Linked DNA regions of Macaca mulatta. The protein of the gene in region 2 interacts with the protein of the main gene of each other region in a biochemical or structural test. Links are inferred from orthologs where the notes say so. Each region holds a gene or a part of one and is shown on either strand. Other genes may lie near its edges. The genes, in order: POLA1, CDK2, H1-1, RB1, ORC2, RBL2 and CDC25C.

What was found.
Region 1: of the proteins of CDK2 (region 2) and POLA1, one has a biochemical effect on the other in vitro, tested with the Homo sapiens proteins (2 studies listed by BioGRID). The link is inferred for Macaca mulatta from reciprocal best matches to the Homo sapiens genes CDK2 and POLA1.
Region 3: of the proteins of CDK2 (region 2) and H1-1, one has a biochemical effect on the other in vitro, tested with the Homo sapiens proteins (48 studies listed by BioGRID). The link is inferred for Macaca mulatta from reciprocal best matches to the Homo sapiens genes CDK2 and H1-1.
Region 4: of the proteins of CDK2 (region 2) and RB1, one has a biochemical effect on the other in vitro, tested with the Homo sapiens proteins (35 studies listed by BioGRID and IntAct). The link is inferred for Macaca mulatta from reciprocal best matches to the Homo sapiens genes CDK2 and RB1.
Region 5: the proteins of CDK2 (region 2) and ORC2 form a complex in vitro, tested with the Homo sapiens proteins (2 studies listed by BioGRID and IntAct, with this or other methods). The link is inferred for Macaca mulatta from reciprocal best matches to the Homo sapiens genes CDK2 and ORC2.
Region 6: the proteins of CDK2 (region 2) and RBL2 form a complex in vitro, tested with the Homo sapiens proteins (3 studies listed by BioGRID, with this or other methods). The link is inferred for Macaca mulatta from reciprocal best matches to the Homo sapiens genes CDK2 and RBL2.
Region 7: of the proteins of CDK2 (region 2) and CDC25C, one has a biochemical effect on the other in vitro, tested with the Homo sapiens proteins (3 studies listed by BioGRID). The link is inferred for Macaca mulatta from reciprocal best matches to the Homo sapiens genes CDK2 and CDC25C.

What each region holds. Positions count from the first base shown.
Region 1 is NC_133426.1:24,814,122-24,818,027, forward strand, and holds the end of POLA1 (DNA polymerase alpha catalytic subunit), read left to right. Parts: intron 1-2,207; coding exon 2,208-2,353; 3' UTR 2,354-3,406; downstream 3,407-3,906. UniProt on the Homo sapiens protein: Catalytic subunit of the DNA polymerase alpha complex (also known as the alpha DNA polymerase-primase complex) which plays an essential role in the initiation of DNA synthesis.
Region 2 is NC_133416.1:63,115,116-63,117,633, reverse strand, and holds the end of CDK2 (cyclin-dependent kinase 2), read right to left. Parts: intron 1,820-2,518; coding exon 1,676-1,819; intron 1,374-1,675; coding exon 1,170-1,373; intron 897-1,169; coding exon 792-896; 3' UTR 501-791; downstream 1-500. UniProt on the Homo sapiens protein: Serine/threonine-protein kinase involved in the control of the cell cycle; essential for meiosis, but dispensable for mitosis. Phosphorylates CABLES1, CTNNB1, CDK2AP2, ERCC6, NBN, USP37, p53/TP53, NPM1, CDK7, RB1, BRCA2, MYC, NPAT, EZH2.
Region 3 is NC_133409.1:157,091,563-157,094,081, reverse strand, and holds H1-1 (histone H1.1), read right to left. Parts: upstream 1,149-2,519; coding exon 501-1,148; downstream 1-500. UniProt on the Homo sapiens protein: Histone H1 protein binds to linker DNA between nucleosomes forming the macromolecular structure known as the chromatin fiber. Histones H1 are necessary for the condensation of nucleosome chains into higher-order structured fibers.
Region 4 is NC_133422.1:27,577,172-27,580,671, forward strand, and holds part of RB1 (retinoblastoma-associated protein), read left to right. Parts: intron 1-687; coding exon 688-884; intron 885-3,500. UniProt on the Homo sapiens protein: Tumor suppressor that is a key regulator of the G1/S transition of the cell cycle. The hypophosphorylated form binds transcription regulators of the E2F family, preventing transcription of E2F-responsive genes.
Region 5 is NC_133417.1:106,027,408-106,030,907, forward strand, and holds part of ORC2 (origin recognition complex subunit 2), read right to left. Parts: coding exon 3,480-3,500; intron 2,319-3,479; coding exon 2,222-2,318; intron 1-2,221. UniProt on the Homo sapiens protein: Component of the origin recognition complex (ORC) that binds origins of replication. DNA-binding is ATP-dependent. The specific DNA sequences that define origins of replication have not been identified yet.
Region 6 is NC_133425.1:48,916,168-48,920,230, reverse strand, and holds the start of RBL2 (retinoblastoma-like protein 2), read right to left. Parts: upstream 2,801-4,063; 5' UTR 2,694-2,800; coding exon 2,454-2,693; intron 2,163-2,453; exon of another isoform or gene 1,934-2,162; intron 1,821-1,933; exon of another isoform or gene 1,730-1,820; intron 1,620-1,729; exon of another isoform or gene 1,525-1,619; coding exon of another isoform or gene 1,507-1,524; intron 1-1,506. UniProt on the Homo sapiens protein: Key regulator of entry into cell division. Directly involved in heterochromatin formation by maintaining overall chromatin structure and, in particular, that of constitutive heterochromatin by stabilizing histone methylation.
Region 7 is NC_133411.1:147,191,334-147,194,833, forward strand, and holds part of CDC25C (M-phase inducer phosphatase 3), read right to left. Parts: intron 3,093-3,500; coding exon 3,047-3,092; intron 280-3,046; coding exon 246-279; intron 136-245; coding exon 46-135; intron 1-45. UniProt on the Homo sapiens protein: Functions as a dosage-dependent inducer in mitotic control. Tyrosine protein phosphatase required for progression of the cell cycle. When phosphorylated, highly effective in activating G2 cells into prophase.

The DNA.
Region 1 (3,906 bases), on a different chromosome or scaffold from region 2:
CTGCAGCACCTGAGGTGATGGTCTTGTTACTGGTAGGCTGACTCTCAAAACCAAAGCAGGGAAAGGAATCAGGGTTTTACTGGCCGCATTAACTGGCCTCCACCATTTAACACCTGTATTTTCCCTTGAGTTATAAAGTGGTGGGTGCAGTATTGACACAAACAGGGTAACAGTTTACTGTGAGGCCTAACGTGGGTGGCCCAGGTGCCTAAAGAGGGAAGAGAAAAACCAGGAAGAAGGGGTGACTCCTCCTCCCCGCCCCCCCCCCACCACCAAGCCCCTGCCCCTGATGCGGCCTGTGACAGCTAGTCCAGTTCTGTTTCCTAGAAGACCTTCCATATGTTATTGATTAAATTCTCATTGGGGAAGCAAGTGGGAGCTTTTATCTGCATCTCTAACTGGTGTGGAATGGTGCCTTGGCCGTATTGACTGGCTATGGGATATGCTGGCGGTCACAGTTGTCTTTTACGAGGAAGAGCACCGAGTGACGCTGGTTGTCATTCTAACTCTGCTGTGTGGCAGCGTAAATAGTCCCCTTTCTAACCAACCTGGTGGGAAAAGTCAATATCCCATCAGCAGAGGAGGTAAACACATCAGGAGCTATGTCCTCTCTTTTCCTCCCCTGCTCTGTATTACCGCAGCTCTTTAAATGTGCTCTCCCCAGTCATCAGATGCATTTGTGTCATTCACATGCACAGGGTTGCTGGCCTGCAGCTCTGGCCTGCCGGGAGGCACTGGTTGGGGCCATTGTTGTGTATTCCCAGACTCGGATCATTAGAACTTTCAAATTGTCTTTCTGTTGCAGCCCCACTCTCTTTTTCCACCCCTTTTGGGCATTTTAATTCTCTATAAAACCTGTGGTTCTTTAAAGGACAATTTATGTAATTCAGAAAAGGTTGTGGAGAGCAAATGTGAATGTATAGCCAAGAAACAAAAATCTGGAGTCTGAGTTTTCGTTTTCCGGGTGTTTTATGGACTTGCGTGTTGCTGTTGTTGGAGGTTTGCTTTCTGTGAGTGGTGCGCTCTCCCCTCCATGTTTCCTGCCTGACCGGTTCCTGTCGGGAGGTGCTGGGCAGCCTTGCTGCTCCCAGGCCCTTTGGCACAGGCCAGCATCTTATGGGGGCGGAGTCCTCACCTCAGGCCTGCACATTTCTATGTGGGAGTAGTGATGCAGTGGCAGGGGGAGTAGGCAGAAGTGAGCCTCAGGTGCAGGCTGGGGGTTCTGGCTACCTGGGTTTGCATGCCTACAACCCTGATTACCTGCTGTGTAACCTTGGGTAAGTGACTTAACCTCCCAGTTTCCTAAGCCATCAAATGGGGATGGGGGGCGCGGTGGGCGGGAAAGCAGCCTCTCCAAACACCTTACCAGGTTCCTGAACAAACATAGTGTCAATCCCCCATGTGATCACCGTCTTCACCCAAAAGATCAGACCTGAGCATCACAGCCCCACTGCTCCTTTAAAAGAACAACGTGTAGAAGTAGCAGGCTCTGGGAAGGAAAAGGAGAGGGATCTTTTCTCTTACTGGTAGCACCCTGCTCTGAAGGGAAAGGCCAGGGATGAATGTGTTGAAGGAGCAAGAGTGCCGAATATCCTGAGTTCACGCAGTGTGGACAAAGAAGAGCAAAGAAATCTTGGCCATGGACAGACAGGTGCCCTCGGGGCCACTCACCTCTTGCCTCTTTCAGCAAAAAAGTTTTGTTTAGCAGAGGGAGGTGAACTGGAGGGACTAGAAGAAGCTGTCTAGGCCCAGCTGATCTGGGGAGTTGGGGCTGGAAGGCACCAGAGGCCATAGCTCCCTTTGAGACTAGGTATTTCCTGCTACTTCCAGACTTCGCAAGCAGTTGCATGCATGTGCTCGCAGCACCCATGAAAGTGGTGTCTGCATGTAGAGCTCACTTTGTCTGCTGCAAATGAGCGTGCACCTGCAGTTCACATCAGTAGAGGGTGGCCCCGTCCCCCGGTGTGCTGAGTCAGCTAGGTGCTGAGAAGCGGACAGGCAGGAGAAAGGAAGAGAAGCTTTCACAGAGGAATGGTGGGCAGGGTCTGCATCTGACCGGCCCCAGGGGTAGACCAGAGATAAGATGGTGGAGATACAAATGGAATCAGCATCCTCTTCTCTGGTGGAATACTGAATGTTTTTTAAAGAAACTACCTGAAACTTCTAATCTCTCTCTCTCTCTCTCTTTCTCTCTCTCTCTTTTTTAGATAAATTGAAGAAGCAATTTTTTACCCCCAGAGTTCTGCAGGACTACAGAAAACTCAAGAACACAGCAGAGCAATTCTTGTCCCGAAGTGGCTACTCCGAAGTGAACCTAAGCAAACTCTTCGCTGGTTGTGCTGTGAAATCCTAAGAGAATCCCAGGAGTAACCAAGGAGGGGGTAGTTGAAAAATCCCAGCTTCCTCTCTGCCTCCGCTCTGGCCCTTACTGCCCTTCCTGCCCTTCCTGCATCTGTTTCTCCCTTGGAACTGTGTCTCATGTTTGTGTGAATGTAGACAAGGAAAGGGGGCTGCAAAAATGTTGACTCTAATGTTCCTAAGCATCATAGAAGTTCCCATCTTCATATTAAGATGTACTGCTTTAAAACACAACTCCAGGGCCCTTCCCCAAGCTCCCCTCCCCAAGGTCCTGAAGACCCAGTTTCTGAGGGAGGGAAATTGCTACTTGGTTTGAGAGTAGCTGGAATGTAAGTGACCCCAGGCTTTGCCTCAGGGCCTTTAGCCTATGTACCCCCCCCCCCCCCAATAGAGAGAGGTTCTCAGAGCCTGACTGAAGAGCTGACATTTTGCTTTTTCACACACCAATTAAACCCGATCTAAATCCAAATGCTTCTCCAGCCATCCAGGAGTGGGTGTCCTTTTCAGTCTTGTCTTTTATATAGGTAGCTGAGGGGGGAGATTTAGAAGCTTTGCACTCACTAAATAGATTAAACAGAGCAGGCTTGTTTATTGAATTGCTCCAAAGTCCAACAGACACACACTGAGCAGGTGTTTTACATTCACATTCCCTTTTTGCCCCTTAAATAGAAAGTGCAGGTAAAGGTTTATACAACAAGAAAGCACATTAAAAATAATTTCATACTCTAACAGTCCATTAACATGTGTAGGGGTTGGGGTGAGGATCACTGTGTTGTATTCAGAAAAATTGGGGGGAGGGATGCTTAATTGGCCCTGGTGCTTGCTATTTTTTTCTCATTTCTTCAGAATGGGACCCTCTTTGGCAGCAGCAAAATATATTTCAGTATGGCAGTCTTTCCTCTCTTACATTATTGGTAAGATTATACTAACAAAATGTTTCCCCTTGTACAACTATGCTGTGTTTTTTAAAAACATTGACCTGTGTGTTTTTATAAAAGAAAACGTATGTTGTGCCTTCTACTTAAGAATAAAGTTTTCTAAAGGGAAAGCAGTTGTGGTGAATCCTTACCAGGTGCAAAGAGTTGATTAGAGAGGCAGCAAGGAGTAACATGTGACTAGAGCCAGTTGCTGTGGCACACACCTGTAGTCCCAGCTACTCCAGAGGTGGAGGCAGGAGGATGGCTTGAGCCCAGGAGTTCAAAGCAGCCTGGGCAACATAGTGAGACCCCCACCTCTAAATACATACATATGTGTGTGTGTGTGTGTGTATATATATATATATATAGATAGATGAAAGACTAGAGGCCATCCCCTTTTCAAACCTCAGCCCAGTTTCTTCATGGCCACCTCTATCAGAACCCAGCTCAGGTGTGCACAGCATGATATTTGGTTGAATGTTCTGAGAAGCATTCAGAATTTCTGTGACTTTAGGTCATTTAACAGATGAAGTATGGTTTCTTATGTGCTTTGCTGACTTAGCCAAGCCAAGAGACCAGCAGCGTCTCTTTTTGAAGAGCAAGGCCTAGGACTCCTGAGAAAAAACCGCCC
Region 2 (2,518 bases):
GAGGAAAACGGGATCAGGGATCCCTGGCAACTGAAGAACTAAGAATACTAAAAGGAAGAGAAAAATTCAAACATCTCTCACCTGCCTCATAAGGCCATGGTGAAGCAATAGATTGGAATGAAGCACAATCCCTGTCCCAGGGCCTCCCAAATTCCTCATGCCTGTAGAAGGGACAAACAAGGGGACTGGGGCCAATCATTTTTCTGCAGCCCCACCCAGGCTGAGTCTTGAGTCTCCCAGCCTATTAGGTGAGGCAGAACACTAACTAGGGTATAAACTGATTGGATCTATTTTTTCAACCGAATTCTTTAAAATAGACTCCTCCCAGTGGTTTTGTTTGACTTGGTTTTCAAAAGTTCCAACTTAGCCCCCTGCTATCATTTGGCCTTTACAAACATTGCGGCAGCAGGAGGCTTGGGATCCTGGTCATCTCAAACACTGGAAATAATAATTATGGGGCATTCAGAGATTGGTACGGCAAATCTAACATGTAGGAAGGCTTTTTTTTTTTTTTTTTTTTTAATAGCAACCCTCTTCAGCAGTAACTAAGAGAAGGGAGAAAGGGTGGTGGAGGCTAACTTAAGTGCATCTAATACTGAAACTTCCTTTCATTTTCACTGGTTCCTCCCTTTCACCCCTGTATTCCCAGAGTTGGCTGGCCAAGACTAGAAGGTGAGTGTTTAAGGCAAGATCAGAGGGCCCACCTGAGTCCAAATAGCCCAAGGCCAAGCCAGGTCAAGCCCACACTGGAGCAGAGGGTGAGATTAGGGCTGGGGGCTTCGAGAAGGCTATCAGAGTCGAAGATGGGGTACTGGCTTGGTCACATCCTGGAAGAAAGGGTGAGCCAGGGCTGCCTTGGCCGAAATCCGCTTGTTAGGATCGTAGTGCAGCATTTGCTAGAGGGAGAGATGTATGTTGACTTCAATCATGTGATAGTGGACTAAATGGGCAGCAAATGTTCCCAGAAATCAGGAAACCAGAACTCCTTCTACCCAAGGCGGAATTCTTACTTCCATCCTCCCATAGCTGAACCAGTGTGCCAACAGGGAGAGCAGGAACCAGGGAAACAAAATACTGAGGCCCAGATTTCAGGGTCTCATCCTTCCTTCATCCTGGAAAAGCCCTTCCCTGGGAGAAATGAATGAGGGAAAACAGGTGCCCACTCTCACCGATAACAAGCTCCGTCCATCTTCATCCAGGGGAGGTACAACTTTACTAAAATCTTGCCGGGCCCACTTGGGGAAACTTGGCTTGTAATCAGGCATAGAAGTAACTCCTGGCCACACCACCTCATCTGGGGTCCCCAGAGTCCGAAAGATCCGGAAGAGCTGGTCAATCTCAGAATCTCCAGGGAATAGGGCCCGGCGAGTCACCTGAAAATGGGGAAAGAGAAAATACCAAGACCTATGTTGAAGTCAGTCAAAACTCTCCTCTATACAAAGGAGTTCCCACAGACAGTAGAAGGTCAGCAGGGCCCCATGACTCCCTCCCCAGGGCCTTTCATGGGGTCAGTCACACAGAACCTGAGACAATGAAGTCCCTTCATCTGTCTCCTCGCCCCCTCCTTCCTTCCCCCAACCATGGCTTTGCAGATCCCCAAGGCTGGGTGGGTCTGGGAGGGGCTGAATGTCTGCGATGCCACTGACATGTAGCAAAGGGATCCCAAGCCACTCACGGGGTATGGGGTAGACACTGCAGTCATCCCCCAACCTTGTGATGCAGCCACTTCTAGATAGGAGCACAGCGGGCAGAGGCTCTGTCTTCCATTTCTTCTGTGTTCCCCACAGTACCTAGCATGGTGCTGGCTACCCACTAGGTGCTTAACAAATATTTTTGGATGAATTGAGAGAGGAATACGGACAATTGTAAGGTAATGCACTGGGGGATAAATGCACATTACATATGTACAGGCTAATGGTCTTTAAGCTGTTGGTTACAACCCAGATAAAAGACAATAAAACATATTGCTGATTTGAAGCCTCAGCCTACTGCACTGCACTGTTGTATTAAAGGAGATAGGAGCTTCTACATAAAGCCAGGCCTCAAGGATCCTTCAATCTGAAAAGCCAGAGGTTGAAGGGGGACATGATCTAAATCTTTTTTTTTTTTTTTTGAGATGGAATCTCGTTCTGTCGCCCAGGCTGGAGTGCAGTGGTGCGATCTTGGCTCACTGCAACCTCCATCTCCTGGGTTCAAGCGATTCTCCTGCCTTGGCCTCCCAAGTAGCTGGGATTACAGGTGTGTGCCACCACACCTGGCTAATTTTTGTATTTTTAGTACAGATGGGGTTTCACCATTTTGGCCAGGCTGGTCTCGAACTCCTGACCTCAGGTGATCCACCTATACCTCAGCTTCCCACAGTGCTGGGACTATAGGTGTGAGCCACTGCACTCTGCCTAAATCTGCAATTTAAATGAAGGGTGTGGATAAAGTGACCACAATTGTCTTCACTACATTGCTGGCACCACACAATAAGGTCTACAAGCCTTGAAATGAAGGCCTGAAATAAAAGAGGCAC
Region 3 (2,519 bases), on a different chromosome or scaffold from region 2:
CGTGATTAAGCCATGAATTTTGCTTACTATCCCAGAAGCATTTCTTAGGACCACCCAATTTCGGAAAAGGCTACTTTAGCAATATTGACCCAAGAACGCAATGTCCGCACTTTAACCTTGCATAATAAAAAAGCCTCAAGCCTGGGACTAGGCTTCAACCTTGGTTCGTTACAGTTATGACTAATTAGCTTGGGGTCGTGAGATGCGGGACTTCGGGCTACTTAAAAAAAAAAAAAAAAAAAAGCAAAACAGGTGATCTAAAATTCGACTTTAACTCGGTGCATTTGAATTCACCTTGCTATCTTTGATAGCCTCATCTGGCAAGAATTTACTACTCAACCTATGTTAAAGTTCCTATTGACTCTCCAAGTGATTCTAATATAAATGAGGGCGTATTGCATTTGCTTGGGGGAATTTCATCTGTGTACTACAGCTCTTTTCCCGAAGTGTGTAGGTGGCTCTTAAAAGAGCCGTTGGGTTAGTAAAGTTTCCAACCGAATTTACTTTTTCTTGGGTGCCGCTTTCTTGGGTTTGGCAGTCTTTGGCTTCGTCACCTTAGCCTTGGCCGCCTTGGGTTTTATAGCCTTAGTTTTAGCAGGGCTTTTAGCTACTTTCTTGGGTTTTACAGCTTTGGGTTTTTTGGGACTCTTAGAGGATTTCCTTGTTGCCGCAGACTTTTTAGCATTTTTTGGAGTCTTGACGTTCTTTTTGCTAACCCCCGTGGCCTTTTTGGGCTTTTTAGACGCACCCGTTGCCTTGGTTTTTGCAGCCACCCTTGAAGCGCCGGGCTTGGTTTCCACGGAGGATGCCTTCTTGTTGAGTTTGAAGGAACCCGAGGCGCCGGTGCCCTTCGTCTGCACCAACGTTCCCTTGCTTACCAGGCTCTTAATACCCAGCTTAATGCGGCTGTTGTTCTTCTCCACATCGTAGCCTGCGGCCGCCAGCGCCTTTTTAAGAGCAGCCAACGACACACCACCACGCTCCTTAGAGGAGGAAGCAGCCTGCACGATCAGCTCTGACACGGAAGGGCCAGCAGGCTTTTTCTTAGTGGCCACCGCAACCTTAGCAGGTTTCTTTGCCTTCCTGCTAGCTGAAGGTTTCTCAGGAGCAGCAGAAGCGGCGGGAGCGGGAGGCGCCGTTTCGGACATGGTGACTAATACAGCACACCAAGTAAACTGGTATAAACCTGACCAAGCAGGATGCGAGAAAAAAAAGGCCCCGACTCAGCCTATTTATAGGGTGGGACTGCGCAGTGATTGGTGCCCGTCAGTGCCCGCCCCTCGCACCCTAGCGCCCCCTGCGCTCTGCAGAGGGTTTCCCCCAGTCTCAGAGAGCACCTGGGGGCCTCTAGGGCCTATGGTCCCGCTCCCCTCAACGCAAGCAAACACACCGAAAAAGCCGCTCCGATTGCCTCATTGTGAAGGAAATTGTAGGCCGACTGCCACCTAGTAACATCAGAGGGTGCCGCTTGTCTCTCAAAAAGCAGCTCTGTTTTAGGGAGTAGGTTGATGGGGAGCGGTTTGCAAATGCAGCCCCACAAGCATCCAGGGAGTTTTATTAGAAAGTTTTAGAGGTCCGTTGCCAGATATGTTAGTTTTTAATTTGCAAGAAATGTAAAATACAGTGTTTGAATAGTTGGGGAGGAAGAGGAAAGTGCGGGTTTTAGGCCGTGTTAGGGCTAGTAGTCATCAACTCGATTACATTTTCTGGCAATGTTTTAGAGCGATGTGTCTCGCGAATACCTTTCACGTCAAAGAAGAATGAATCGTAGACAACACCAGAATTCACTAACGCTGCAATTAATACTCAAACTGCAAGTGTGGAAACGTTTCTGCACTTGTAACTTACTTCCACAGTCCAATGTGGGATGCACTTCAGGAATTTCCAATGCCCTTTTCATCCATACAACATGCCCCAAATGGGTGTTAAGGTTTACAACCTGTGTTCCATGTCAGCACATGCAATGAGAGCACCATGACATGGTGAACTCATTGTTTTATTCAACAAAGATTTATGGGCCTCACAAACCTGCGAAAGGCGTTAAATGCTGGGTCCAAGAAACTGGTTCCCCGACAGGCATTCTGCTGGGGAGTTAAGTCTCCTTAGTGTGAAAACAAACGGTAAGTGTAAGCACACCCTGGGGATAAGATTTTATGGTAACCTCTCTTTAGCTTGTTTGTGGCTGTTAAGAGCATTTCAAATTATCAATAAGCTAAAACGATCTCACATTGCCAATCAGAGACTCAGCTAACGGGAGAACAAAAAAAACTATTAAATCGACATCCACTTCTACAATCCTATTCTGGATAACCCCCTAACACAGCGGAGAGTGAGGGAATGCGGTCTATTTCCGTTCGTGCTGTTGTAGTTTTTAAATAAGTCCGAACTGTGCTAAGTAACCTGAGCTTTTTCCCTTTTTCTTCAAACAACGTGTCAACCAAATAATTGTAGTAGTCCCAGATAACTATTGTACCCATCTTCTTTACCAGTGTTTCCTACGTCTATTTTATTGAGAAGCC
Region 4 (3,500 bases), on a different chromosome or scaffold from region 2:
CTCTACTGATATGGAAGCACTGCTATAACCTCCATGGTTATGAAACTAAAGACTGAAGCTGGAACCCACTGGATAAACAGAACGAAGGCCAGTTACAGTGTTTTTAAAAATATAAATGTATATCACTTTGCAAATTATGTTGCAAATGTTAAAAGAAAGTTTTGCTTGCAGAAACAAAAGGAACATTTGTAAAGGATGCAAAACACAGTGAAAGAGGAACTTCTAGTTTCCTTATTAGTAAACAAATAAGGAAAACTGTGAATCCTCATTTATAACCAAGAAATGCATATTTTAAAGAGATACCATTTTCTGACTAATGAAATTAGCAGGATCTTGAAGAATCTGTCTCTCCTCTTACCAAGGATTAATGAGAATTAAAATAGATATGCTAATAAATGGCTGGTAAGATACTAAACCTGTTTCTGATATAAGTTTAGGGTATTTAAACCTTTGAAAATTTGAGATAAGCTATAAGCCCTTTCTCTAGGAAAAATATAGATGTGCATACACTCAAAATTGGAAGGCTATTTCCTATGAGTCCGTAGACTCCAAAATAAAAAATTCTGCTCTAAATAAAAATCGTTTAACCTTTCTACTGTTTTCTTTGTTTGATAAGACTTTCCAAAAAAAATACCTAGCTCAAGGGTTAATATTTCATACCTAAGTTACTTTTTTTTTCATTTTTAGGAAGTACATCTCAGAATCTTGATTCTGGAACAGATTTGTCTTTCCCATGGATTCTGAATGTGCTTAATTTGAAAGCCTTTGATTTTTACAAAGTGATTGAAAGTTTTATCAAAGCAGAAGGCAACTTGACAAGAGAAATGATAAAACACTTAGAACGATGTGAACATCGAATCATGGAATCCCTTGCATGGCTCTCAGTAAGTAACTAGCTAAATAATTGAAGAAATTCATTCATGTGCATATGGCTAACAAATTATCTGTTAGTGAGAGGTGTTTCTTAACATCTACCTCAAGAACAAATAGGCAATAATGAATAATGTAATTTCAGTCTGTAGCCCAAGAATCAAGTAGAATATTAGAATGGAGCTTTATTCGAGTGCCCTAAACCATCTAATACAGCATAGTGATTTATTTAAGAATAGCTTTTCTTAAAACATGGCACTTTAAAACAAAACAGAATTCTTTTTTTTTATTATTATTATATTTTAAGTTCTAGGGTAAGTTCTAAGTTCTAGGGTGCAGGTTTGTTACATATGTATACATGTGCCATGTTGGTGTGCTGCACCCATTAGCTCGTCATTTACATTAGGTATATCTCTTAATGCTATCCCTCCCCCCTCCCCCCACCCCACCACAGGCCCCAGTGTATGATGTTCCCCTTCCTGTGTCCAAGTGTTCTTATTGTTCAATTCCCACCTATGAGTGAGAACATGCAGTGTTTGGTTTTCTGTCCTTGCGATAGTTTGCTCAGAATAATGGTTTCCAGCTTCATCCATGTCCCTACAAAGGGCATGAACTCATCCTTTTTTATGGCCGCATAGAATTCCATGGTGTATATGTGCCACATTTTCTTAATCCAGTCTATCATTGATGGACATTTGGGTTGATTCCAAGTCTTTGCTATTGTGAATAGTGTGGCAATAAACATACATGTGCATGTATGTTTATAGCAGCACGATTTATAATCCTTTGGGTATATACCCAATGATGAGATGACTGGGCCAAATGGTATTTCTAGTTATAGATGTTTGAGGAATCGCCACACTGTCTTCCACAATGGTTGAACTAGTTTACAGTCCCACCAACAGTGTAAAAGTGTTCCTATTTCTCCACATCCTCTCCAGCACCTGTTGTTTCCTGACTTTTTAATGATCACCATTCTAACTGGTGTGAGATGGTATCTCACTGGTTTTGATTTGCATTTCTCTCATGGCTAGTGATGGTGAGCATTTTTTTCATGTGTCTGTTGGCTGCATAAATGTCTTCTTTTGAGAAGTGTCTGTTCATATCCTTCACCCACTTTTGGATGGGATTGTTTGATTTTTTTCTTGTAGATTTGTTTAAGTTCTTTGTAGATTCTAGTTATTAGCCCTTTGTCAGATGGGTAGATTGTAAAAATTTTCTCCCATTCTGTAGGTTGCCTGTTCACTCTGATGGTGGTTTCTTTTGCTGCGCAGAAGCTCTTTAGTTTAATTAAATCCCATTTGTCAATTTTGGCTTTTGTTGCCATTGCTTTTGGTGTTTTAGTTATGAAGTCCTTGCCCATGCCTATGTCCTGAATGGTATTGCCTAGGTTTTCTTCTAGGGTTTTTATGGTTTTAGGTCTAACATTTAAGTCTTTAATCCATCTTGAATTAATTTTCGTGTAAGGTGTAAGGAAGGGATCCAGTTTCAGCTTTCTACATATGGCTAGCCAGTTTTCCCAGCACCATTTATTAAATAGGGAATCCTTTCCCCATTTCTTGTTTCTGTCAGGTTTGTCAAAGATCAGATGGTTGTAGATGTGTGGTATTCTTTCTGAGGGCTCTGTTCTAAAACAGAACATAATTCTTTAAAGTATTTAGATAATTTATTTAAAATATAGTCGTCATTATGTTTGAAAATGTAAATGTCTGCTCTTAAATTGTGAGATTATGTTATTTAGATTATTAAAAAGTGCATTTTTTTCTTGTTGAATATAGTAGGATTCATTTTTCCCATTATTAGAGTATAAAAATCTATACTATTGTTCAATTATAGGTATTGGTGTATTGGTTCAATCATTATAGGGGCACAAATTATATTGTCTAGGATTCTCTTTATAGCATTATAACTATTGATAAGGCTTTTGTTTTAATAAAATTGGCAACTTGAGTTTATGCTCTTCAAATCTGCATAGTTGGATAATACTTTGTGAATCATCAGATTTGTAGATTAATGGTTTCTTTTGAAACTGTGTTGCATGCTAAGTATATATCTTTTAATTTGTATCAGTATATAGAAATGGTAATTAAAAATTAAGACTTTAGGTATGCTATAATCCTAATTTGCACATGTAACCTTAGTTTTAATTTCTTTATGTTTTGAATTTTTAATGACTAAGCAATAGTTTATTTCTTAGTGTTTTCTTGTGTTGCCATATAGACAGTGAATAGAGGAGAGAAGCATGGGAAATTGATAGAAGAATGTTATACTCCTATTATTGAATTTGGTAACTACTTATGGAATGAACTTACACTTGATAAGGAGTACTTAGGAGAAAACTTTCTGAATCTGGGGAATTAAGTGAAAGTAAAAATAAATAAATAGATAAGTAAATAAAATAAGCACATAGAGTACTTTTTAAAGGCTATGTGTCCTCTCCTCCCAGAAATTGATATTGAGATATTACCGTATCATCTGAAAGTGACTATTGTTATTTCTTTTAGAGAGTTAATTTTATTTCTATCAACACATATTTATTGAACATATGCCATATGCCTTGAATTGAGAGAGATATTGTGAGGCTACAAAAAAAATAAAGGCTTGGAAAATTGTGTAGGAAGTAATAAAAA
Region 5 (3,500 bases), on a different chromosome or scaffold from region 2:
GTGCTTGGGAACACTAGATAGCATTCTAACACTATGCTTGGGGGCCATTTTAAACAGCCAAATCACCGACACAAAAGCAGAAAAATGTGAAAAACATAGCACTGAACGGACTGCGAAAAGGATGCTTGTTTATAGTATGAGAGTTGAAACAAGACGGCAAAGCATTGCATTGTTTGACCTCTGCTTAGAATGTGTACATTGGGCAATGCAAACTTTTTGCCACTCTGTGCATGTTTCACTTTGCAAAAGTGCCAAGAGTATTGATTTTGGGATTATAATAAATGTTAGCAAGCAGGAAAATTTGTTATTATAGAATTTGTGAATAATGAGAATCAACTCTACCTGTTTTCAAATGTGTACAGTTGGTATAAAAATGTATATTGTCTGGCTGGGCTCATGTCTGTTAATCCCAGCACTTTGGAAGGCCCAGACAGGCGGATCCCTTGAGGCCTAGGAGTTTGAGACCAGCCTGGGCAACACAGTGAGACTCCCATCTCTACAAAAAATTTTAACAATAGCCAGGCAGATGGTGTGTGCCTGTAGTCCCAGCTAATGGGGAGGCTGAGTTGGGAGGATCACTTGGGCCCAGGAGGTTTAGGATGTAGTGAAATGTGTTTGTGCCACTGGATCCCAGCCTAGGTGAGAGAGAAAGACTGTGTTAAAAAAAACCCAAAAACAAAAAAGTATACTGTCCATTTCTATAAAGAACTGTGGGTAAAATGGGTGTAGAAGTGTGAAAGGAAATTTGGGACAGAAAGCTTTTCAGGTTGGAAACAAAATGAAGACAAAACTAAAGAACATGCCAGAATATTGACAAGATAAAAGTACTATGGAAACAGAGCTAGGATTATTGACATTATCAATAAAATTATCCATCAAAGCAGTTAGGCATTCTCATGTACTTCTCTTAATTTAGTCATTATTAAATGGCAATTAACTATCAGAGACTATATAATGCTATTTCCAATTTTCTGACATACTCACATAACCAAAACATTCACACCAAAAGAATCAGAGATCTTAGTATATAAAATTATCCCAATGTAATGATATATACACAGAATAAAGAAATAATGTTTTATTTATTTATTTATTTTTAGATAGAGTCTCACTCTATTGCCCAGGCTGGAGTGCAGTGGTATGATCTTGGCTCACTGCAACCTCTGCCTCCCAGGCTCAAGCACTTCTCCTGCCTCAGCCTCCCAAGTAGCTGGGACTACAGGCACGTGCTACCATGCCTGGCTAATTTTTTTTGTATTTTTGTAGAGACGGGGTTTCACCATATTGGCCAGGCTGGTCTCGAACTCCTGACCTCAGGTGACCCACCCAGCTTGGCCTCCCAAAGTGCTGGGATTACAGGCGTCAGCCACTGTGTCCAGCCAAGAAATAATGTTTTATAAAAACATTAAACAATATAAAAATATCAGACAAAGATGTAACGCTCAAGTGGAGGCACTTTACACAAGCAAAACAAAACCTGAAAATTATTCTGAAATAAATTAGCTGGGCTTGGTGGTGCATGCCTGTAATCCCAGCTACTTGGGAGGCTGAGGCAGGAGAATTGCTTAAACCCGGGAGGCAGAGGTTGCAGTGAGCCAAAATTGTGCCACTGCACTTCTGGAGTGTTTTATAAACAGAAAAAGGCTTTTGGATATACAAACTTAAGAAAGTGGGACTAACATTTTTCTTCCCTGTTAAGTTCACAGAAAAGGTTCATAGAAAAAGGTCAAATTATTTTAGAGCACCAAGATAAGTGCCATTATTAAAATAATCTTTTTGGGCCAGGTGTGGTGGCTCACACCTATAATCTCAGCCCTTTGGGAGGCCAAGGCAGGAGGACTGCTTGAGCCCAGAAGTTCCAGACTATCCAGGGCAACATAGCGAGACCTCATCTCCACAAATAATACAAAATTAGCTGGGCACAGTGGCACACGCCTGTGATCTCAGCTACCTGGGAGGCTGAGGTGGGAGAACTGCTTGAGCCCAGAAGGTCAAGGCTGCAGTGGGCCATGATGGTGCCACTACACTCCAGCCTGGGCAACAGAGAGACTGTCTCAAAAAATATATATATATAAAATAATAATAATACTGTATGTATATGTATGTATATAATACATATAATATGTATGTATAACTGTACTGTATGTATATAAATACATGAATAAGTAGAAGTATATGCTTAACTTTACCCTAAAACTACAGAGCATCTACTTCATGTTACCTTCTTTAAATCTCTTTACTATCCAGTCTAGCTGATCCAGTATACTGCGGAAAGTACCCATATGATCGAGGACTTCTTCTGTTATAGAATTCAGGACCTATATCATGAATGTGCAAGAGGTGCCACATTAATTACAATTTATTGTCATATACAACTAGAAAATCAAACCTTTTTTTATAAATTAACAATGAATTTGGATTTCCCAAAAGTTTTAAAAAATCACTTTTAAAAATTCTACTGGTACTCGATGAATTATATCTAATTCATTGTTTTTTGCCTAAGTTGTGGCTAAAAGAAAATAGAAAAGAATAGCAAAGATATCAACGTAATAGGTAATATAAGAGGGCAGCAAAAACAAATGAAAAAGCTCCCAAGAACATGAGAAACATTAGAAAACTACAGTTCTATCAAAGGAAACAGGACACAAACACTATAGACACTTTTAAAAAGGAATACTACATGACTCAATATCCAGCACCCAAAAGATTTCATGTTCAAATGAGGAAGAGAGATTAAGCATTTGAAATAAAAATGATCTATGATAAATGTATTGTAAAACTATAGTCTTCACATCCTGTTGCATTTTAAAGCATTTTCACAGCATGTAGTTTGTTTTTTTTTTTTTTTTTTTTTTTTTTGAGAGGGAGTCTGGCTCTGTCGCCCAGGCTGGAGTGCAGTGGCCGGATCTCAGCTCACTGCAAGCTCCGCCTCCCGGGTTTACGCCATTCTCCTGCCTCAGCCTCCCGAGTAGCTGGGACTACAGGCGCCCGCCACCTCGCCCGGCTAGTTTTTTTTTTTTGTATTTTTTAGTAGAGATGGGGTTTCACCGTGTTAGCCAGGATGGTCTTGATCTCCTGACCTCGTGATCCACCCGTCTCGGCCTCCCAAAGTGCTGGGATTACAGGCTTGAGCCACCGCGCCCGGCCCCGAGTTTTTGCCTAATAAAGCATTTTCATAGTTTATAACAAAACTGAAGACCCCATAATTCCCTTCTTTAGAAGTACCACTGATACTCAGTGTAGTAAACAAAACTAACATATTTTCCTAAGTTTTAATACATGTCAGTTACAACGTAGGACATTCAAAGATGGTTTCAAAGCTAGATTCTTCTGAGTCCAAACACATGGTATTAAGCACTATACAATCCTACTACCGTGAAGACTAAAACAAAAATTCTTTAATACTCCATCCTCATTTATGTGGAGGCATGAATTGGCAGAGGATATAATGTTTTTCCCTTTAACATTTTGAAACTTACTGATTTCACACTGATTCCGGG
Region 6 (4,063 bases), on a different chromosome or scaffold from region 2:
TTCTCTACTCTATCAAGATCTCTTAGAAAGTATAAAGTTAAGTCAGTCATAGCATTATCCTGTGCTTCAATAAAGGGTTTAAAAGATAATCTATAATGTTCTATTTTGGCTCTAGAAAATTCACAACTACTTGGATGGCAGAGAGAAAACAACAACAACAAAAAAAGAAAGTCTACAACTGCATCTTTCCTAAAAAGAAGAAAAGAATTAGTCTTGTGAGAATTTTACCGTGCTTAGATGATAAAACGGAGCGGGAAGCTCTTTTAAACAATTTATGCAAAGAGTAGACTCTGCCTAGTTTATCTTTGGTCCTAAAAAATATTTGTTGAAAAATTCCATAATACTAAAAAATAGTTATCCTCAAAATTAACATCTCGTGGCCATATCTTATAGGGTCAAATAGATCTGGTTTCAAATTCTGGCTCTGCCATACAGTAGCTGTAACACAGTGGGAAAATTACTAAACAGTCTCAGAGGCTGCATTTTTTTGGCTGAGGACTGTAAGAATGAGTTATAGGTTAAAAATGCACAGAAAATACAATGAATCAAATTAAATTTCCATAACCAGTATTCTGTATTAAATATCATAAGAGCTTTATTTCCCCTTACACTCCCATGAGAATGACATCCCACATTATCTCACAGCGTAGCTCACTATAAGCCCCACAAAGGCAGGTATTTTTAGGCTTTGTTTGATGCTCTATATCCAGCACTGAGAACAGTGTGTAGCACTGAGAACAGGTGCTCAAGAAATATTTGATGAATATTTTACTGAGTAAATCATTTACTGAATAAACTGGGCTAAGAAGCTGAAACTAAAGTCTCAGTAATCAAAAGAATTGAGTAATCAAACATGTGTTTTCAAAAATAATTTACTAACCAGCTCTTACGTGGTATTTGCTCATGTATCACTGGACTTCATACAACTTAACCACTATGAGTTGACATACCTCAACTAAATGGTGATAACGCTTGTTCTATCTAATTTACAGGATCATCCTGAGGGTAAAATAAAAGCTTGTTTAGAAGCCTTTAAGGCCCTTTACCAAAGAAAAAAAAAAAGCAAAAAAAAAAAAAGTCAACCAGTCCTTCTCTTTGCCAGACTACAGAAAGGCACTGAGAGACGGACAGGAACATAGTTTACTCAGCCAGATCATGTAAATATACAAAGAGCTTAGGAAACTTGAAAGCACCGTCCATATGGGTGCTTTATGTGCCAGAAACTACATTGTTGCCTTATTTAATCTTCAGAACAGCTCTGTGAGGTAAACACACATATCTCCAGTTTAGAGATCACAAAACTCAACTTTCCAGCGGTTAAGTAAATTGTTCAGTCACCCAGGTCTGTCGGGTTCTAAAGCCACCATACACTATCTTTCTTCTGCAGATATAACAATTCAAAGAGGGAAATCGTAATTGAATCAAAATTCTATTAATGCAAATACAAATTTAAAATAACCTCACTCATCAGTACACATAGCCAAAAACATCATATTTAAATAATACCTTGGTTAGGCTTTGCATCCTGGGCCTATTTGCCCCCCTCTTTATCCAAAGTAATTATAAAACTACTTGAGAAATTAAATGGCCTCAGGTTTAAATGCCACACACACACAGTAGAAGAGCTGATAAACAATCCGTACTTCCGTGTCACTTCCCATTGGCCCATGAAAGGGAGGTGCCTACAGAACTAACAGTCACTGGCTAGAATGGCCATTTTTCTCATCCGCAAGCCCAGTCCGAAGGCTGCGACCTAACACGCCCGGATCCCGACAACAGGAGTCCTGTGCAATGCCCGGGGTGACCAAAAAGCCCTCGAGGTAGCCACAATCCTGAGCCTAGTGACAAATGGGAGCATGTATCTATATACGGGTCGGCGGAGGGCTCATTTCATGTGGCCTGGGGGAAAATGAGTCTTAATTTGTTTACACAGACGTAAACACAGACCAAAACGCATCAGCTCGTTGACTCTAACGCCAGCAACGTCTGGGCAAAGGCAATTTGGTTAACAGGGGGAAGCGAACAGACGGAGACGCCTGGAGACCCAGGTGCCACAGCCCGGTTAATCGCGGTGCAAATAAGGGCAAGTCCCCTCCCCTTCTCCGTGCGGTCTTGATAACGACACTAGTTCATTCTACTAACAAGGCGGGCGGGGGGTCAGATGGGCCACACACACCCATCTTCCTCATCGGGACCCCAGCGCGATCTCAGCTTCCCTATGTTACTTTAGGGCAAAACGCGTTCCCCATTCGGAAGCCGCGGGGAAGCGCGGCGAGAGCAGGTTCGCCCTCGGAGCGGCTAAGTGCCTCGGAATAGCGCAGAGGGGGTCCCCACGCCTCTCCCGGCTGGGATCCCGCAACCCGCCCGAGGGTCTCTCGTGGCGCGCGACGCGGCTCGGAAGGCACCGGTTCACGCCGACTAGGCCGGAAGCGCCCCTCCGCCCGCGAGCGCACCTCCAGAGTGTAGCTCTCGCTCATGCTGCGGTAGCTGTCCCAGGCCTCGGCCCGCGCCGCCTCGTCCATGTTGAGGCGGCTGCACAGCTCGTCGAACCGCTGCTGGATCTGAGGGGTGGGCGACTCGTTAGGCGGCGCGGCGTCCTCCGCCTCGCCGTCGTCCTCCTCCTCCTCATCCGAGGCTGCCGCCGCCGGAGGAGGAGGCGGGGGCGGCGGCGACTGGTCACCTCCCGACGGCATAGCGCACCCCTGGGCAGCCGGACCTCAGGTGAGGTGAGGGCCCGGGCCCGCAGCCATTCAAACCGCGAAGCGCCCGCCCGTCCGCCGCCCGCTCCGCGCCTGCGCCTGCGCCGCTGCCAACGACGCTGACCTCCTGCAGGCACCCGTAGTCTTGAGCACGGCCTGCTGGGAAATGTAGTCCAGGCCGACGGTTCAAGGGGGCCAAAAATCATGTTTAAAAAAATTAGCTCGCCTAGTTTCACCAGGGGTGAAATAAAAGCACCTTCCCCGCATTTTAAGCACATACCTCCCCATCGTGAGAACATTCAACAGGGTTGTACTGACGAGAAAATGTCCAAAAGACACTGACGTGTGAAGGTTTCGCATCCAGGCTGTTCCCAGAAGTAAAACTTCCTCATCGCCTGGATATCCTTATCTAAAAAACCAGGATAATAGCAAGGGCCTGTCTGTGTACCTTCACGAAACTGCCTTTGCAAAAATCCTAACAGTGAGAAAGTTACCACTGGGAAAGGGATCTGACCTAAATGACTCCATGCTTCTCACCTCCGAGCTGCACTTGTTCATTCCCAGGCGAAGACCCAACTAACTACAGGAGGAATTTAATTTGTAGTTTCACTTTGAAGCAAAGATTTTTACAGCGCTTTCCCAAAACAAACCCCCTTCTTGCCTGAGGATCAGTCTGCCTTTGTAGAACTAACAAATTAGCCACAAGATTAGAAATTATGATTTAGGAGTCTTGCAGCCAGAGGCTACAAGATTCCTAACCTCCCCAGTTGTTCTCAGGGATAACATCACTATTGTAAAACCTAAGATTGGTGCTGGAGATACTTTTCAGACCCCGCATTCCGATGCATGAGCTGGCGCCACTCAGACCATAATCTGGCTCAACCAGTTCTACAGTCCCACTCAGAAACAGAAGACAGCAAGAGCCCACTTCAACCCCCTAAGATTTCACCTCCCACCTGACAAATTAGCATTCGCCACTCCCTGGCCCCCTACCCGCCAAGTCATTCTTTAAAAACCCCAGTCTCCGAATTTTCTGGTAGCTGACTCTGAAGGGCAGACAGTCCTTTTTTTTTTTTTTTTTTTTTTTTTTTTTTTTTTAATTTGAGACAGAGTCTGGCTCTGTCGCCCAGGCTGGAGTGCAGTGGCACGATCTTGGCTCACGGCAACCTCCGCCTCCCGGGTTCAAGCGATTCTTCTGCCTCAGCCTCCTGAATATCTGGGATTACAGGTGCGTGCTACCGCGCCCGGCTAATTTTTATATTTTCAGTAGAGGCAGGGTTTCACTATGTTGACCAGGCTGGTCTCGAACTCCTGACCTCAAGTGATCCGCCCGCCTCGGCCTCCCAGAGTGCTGGGATTACAGG
Region 7 (3,500 bases), on a different chromosome or scaffold from region 2:
AAAAATAAAACTGCCAATATATCTAGGTTTCCATTAAACACTCACATTTTCTTTATTTGCAGATAAGCTACACATTGCATCTCTCTTTCTATGGCCACGGTCCAAACCATTCGGAGTGCTACAGAGAAGCTGTGCCTAAAAAAGAGTTTGCTGAGAACGTCCCGCATCAAGTCACAGGTGCAATGGAAACCCTCTGTCTCCCACCTGAAAAGCAAACCCAAACCCAAAAAAGAGAGGCTACTCACTGGGCTACATTTCATTAGGTGCTGGTGATGATTCCTGCAGATTAAAACAAACTGCCTGTCAGGTTAGCCCCAAATACTGTTTGATTATTCTTCAGTGGATTTGGTGCATCCCAACATTTTTAAAATTTCATTCTAGGAGCCCTATTCCCAGTTGATATGTCTCTTCCAACAACAATACATAGGGTATTCTCTGTGGTAAATATGAAGACTCAAGTGATATCTTGGGGATAAGACCCTCATTTTGCCTGTATAACCATATAAATAAACATGTACCAAAGATGAACGAGTTTTATACAATTTACTAATTTTCCAGCACAGTGTATTGGGGCTAATTTTTTTTTTTTTTTTTTTTTTTTGAGACAGTCTGGTTCTGTCACCCAGGCTGGAGTGCAGTGGCAGGATCTCAGCTCACTGCAAGCGCCGCCTCCCAGGTTCACGCCATTCTCCTGCCTCAGCCTCCTGAGTAGCTGGGACTACAGGCGCCCGCCACCACGCCCAGCTAATTTTTTGTATTTTTAGTAGAGACGGGGTTTCACCATGTTAGCCAGGATGGTCTCAATCTCCTGACCTTGTGATCCGCCCGCCTCAGCCTCCCAAAGTGCTGGGATTACAGGCGTGAGCCACCGTGCCGGCCAGGGCTAATTTTTTAAAAAAATTTAATTTCTGGCCGGGCGGGGTGGCTCACACCTGTAATCCCAGCACTTTGGGAGGCTGAGGCGGACGGATCACCTGAGGTTGGGAGTTCGCGACCAGCCTGACCAACACAGAGAAACCCGTCTCTCTACTGAAAATACAAAATTAGCTGGGCGTGGTGGCGCATACCTGTAATCTCAGCTACTCGGGAGCCTGAGGCAGGAGAATCTCTTGAATCCGGGAGGGGGAGGTTGTGGTGAACCGAGATCGCGCCACTGCACTCAAGCCTGGGCAACAAGAGCAAAACTCCGTCTGGAAGAAAAAAAAAAAAAAGCCCGGCGTGGGGGCTCATGCTTGTAATCCCAGCACTTTGGGAGGCCGAGGCGGGCAGATCACGAGGTCAAGAGATCGAGACAATCCTGACCAACATGGTGAAACCCCGTCTCTATTAAAAATACAAAAATTGGCCGGGCGCGGTGGCTCAAGCCTGTAATCCCAGCACTTTGGGAGGCCGAGACAGGCGGATCACGAGGTCAGGAGATCGAGACCATCCTGGCTGACACGGTGAAACCCCGTCTCTACTAAAAAATACAAAAAAACTAGCCGGGCGAGGTGGCGGGCGCCTGTAGTCCCAGCTACTCGGGAGGCTGAGGCAGGAGAATGGCATGAACCCGGGAGGCGGAGCTTGCATGAGCCAAGATCACGCCACTGCACTCCAGCCTGGGCGGCAGAGCGAGACTCTGTCTCAAAAAAAAATAAAAATAAATAAAAAAATAAAATAAAAATACAAAAATTAGCTGGGCATCGTGGCGTGTGCTTGTAGTCCCAGCTACTCGGGAGGCTGAAGTGAGAGAATCGCTTGAACCTGGGCGGCGGAGGTTGCAGTGAGCTGAGATCAGGCCACTGCACTCCATTCTGGCAACAGAGTGAGACTCCATCTCCAAAAACAAAACAAACAAAACAAACAAAAAACATATCTATATATAAATTTCTATCCTCCCTCTGTGGATTTCATTATCTATCTGGGTTAGAGCATTTAAAGCAATTCAGGCGGGGCCAGGTGACTCCCATCTGTAATCCCAGCACTTTGGGAGGCCGAGGGGGTTGCTGATCACTTGAGGTCAGGAGTTCAAGAGCAGCCTGGCCAACATGGTGAAGCCTCATCTCTACTAAAAATACAAACATTAGCCAGGCATGGTGGTGGATGCCTGTAATCCCAGCTACTCAGGAAGCTGAGGCAGGAGAATCGCTTAAATCGCTTGAACCCAGGGAGGCAGAGGTTGCAGTGAGTCAAGATGGCGCCACTGCACTCAATCCTTGGCAACAGAGCCAGACTCCATCTCAAAAATAAAAATAAATACATAAATAAAATGCTTGGTATGTGTTAGATACACAGTTTATTTAATCCTTACAATAGCTACTTTATGACAAGTGCTATTATTGTCTCCATGTTACAAATAAAAAAAATTAAGGTCTAAAGCAGAGTCACAACTGGTGAATGAAGTAGTAAGCCAGGAATCCAGACACTGATTCCAGAGCCTACACTCTGTACTTTCTTTTTTCTTTTCAACACGCAGTCTCGCTCTGTCGCCCAGGCTGGAGGGCAGTGGTGCGGTCTCTGCTCACTGCAACCTCCGCCTCCCGGGCTCAAGCAATTCTCCTACCTCAACCTCCCAAGTAGCTGCGATTACAGGCATGTGCCACCCCACCCGGCTAATTTTTGTATTTTTAATAGAGACGGGGTTTCTGCATGATGGGCAGGCTGGTCTTGAACTCCTGACCTCATCTGATCCGCCTGCCTTGGCCTACCAAAGTGCTGGGATTACTACAGATGTAAGCCACCGCGCCTGGCCACTCTGTACTTTGAATTACTAAGATACAGCACTTTTCACATTCAAATAAAAGCCTATATAAGTGTAGTATACCATTTTCCTTCATTTCCTTATAGATACTTCTGATTATGACAGTTAAAATGAATAGCCTTCATTTTCACAACACTATTTAGATCTGGAAACCTTAGAAACTGTTCAAGGTAAGGAACTAGGCCTCAAAGCCCACTTATACCCAATATGAAAGGTTTTGCACTCTGCAGAGTCCGCACAGGATAAAATCTCTATGACCAGTGCTAAAAAGCTTTTGCATGGGGTTCATTTAGCAACAGAACTTACATCCCAGCTAAATGCACTTCCTGAAGTCCTGAAGAATCCAGGTGACCTGCAATCAAATATAAAAAATCAGTAAAAGGAGTTATTTTTGTCCATGCATCTTGTTTTTCCTTCAGATTTTCTTCATTACCAGTAAGCCATATTAATTTCAAGGACTGAGCTTTTGAATACAAAGCCTCTCGATTGATACCCATTTCATAGTACAAGGTACAATTTCACAGAAACTTAAGGTTTTATGTGTCACTAAAAGAAGTAGTGCTGGGAAACACTGTACTTTGCTACCTACGGAGTTTTTTTTTTTTTTTTTTATGAGTAGAAAAGAAAGATTATCACTCAGAAAATCTGAAATTAGAATTCTGGAAGGTTAACTTATGAAACATTCCTTTTGGAATATTTTATATAAAACATATAAGAATTAAATGACAATGTATTTCTTTTTCTTTGAGACGCAGTCTCG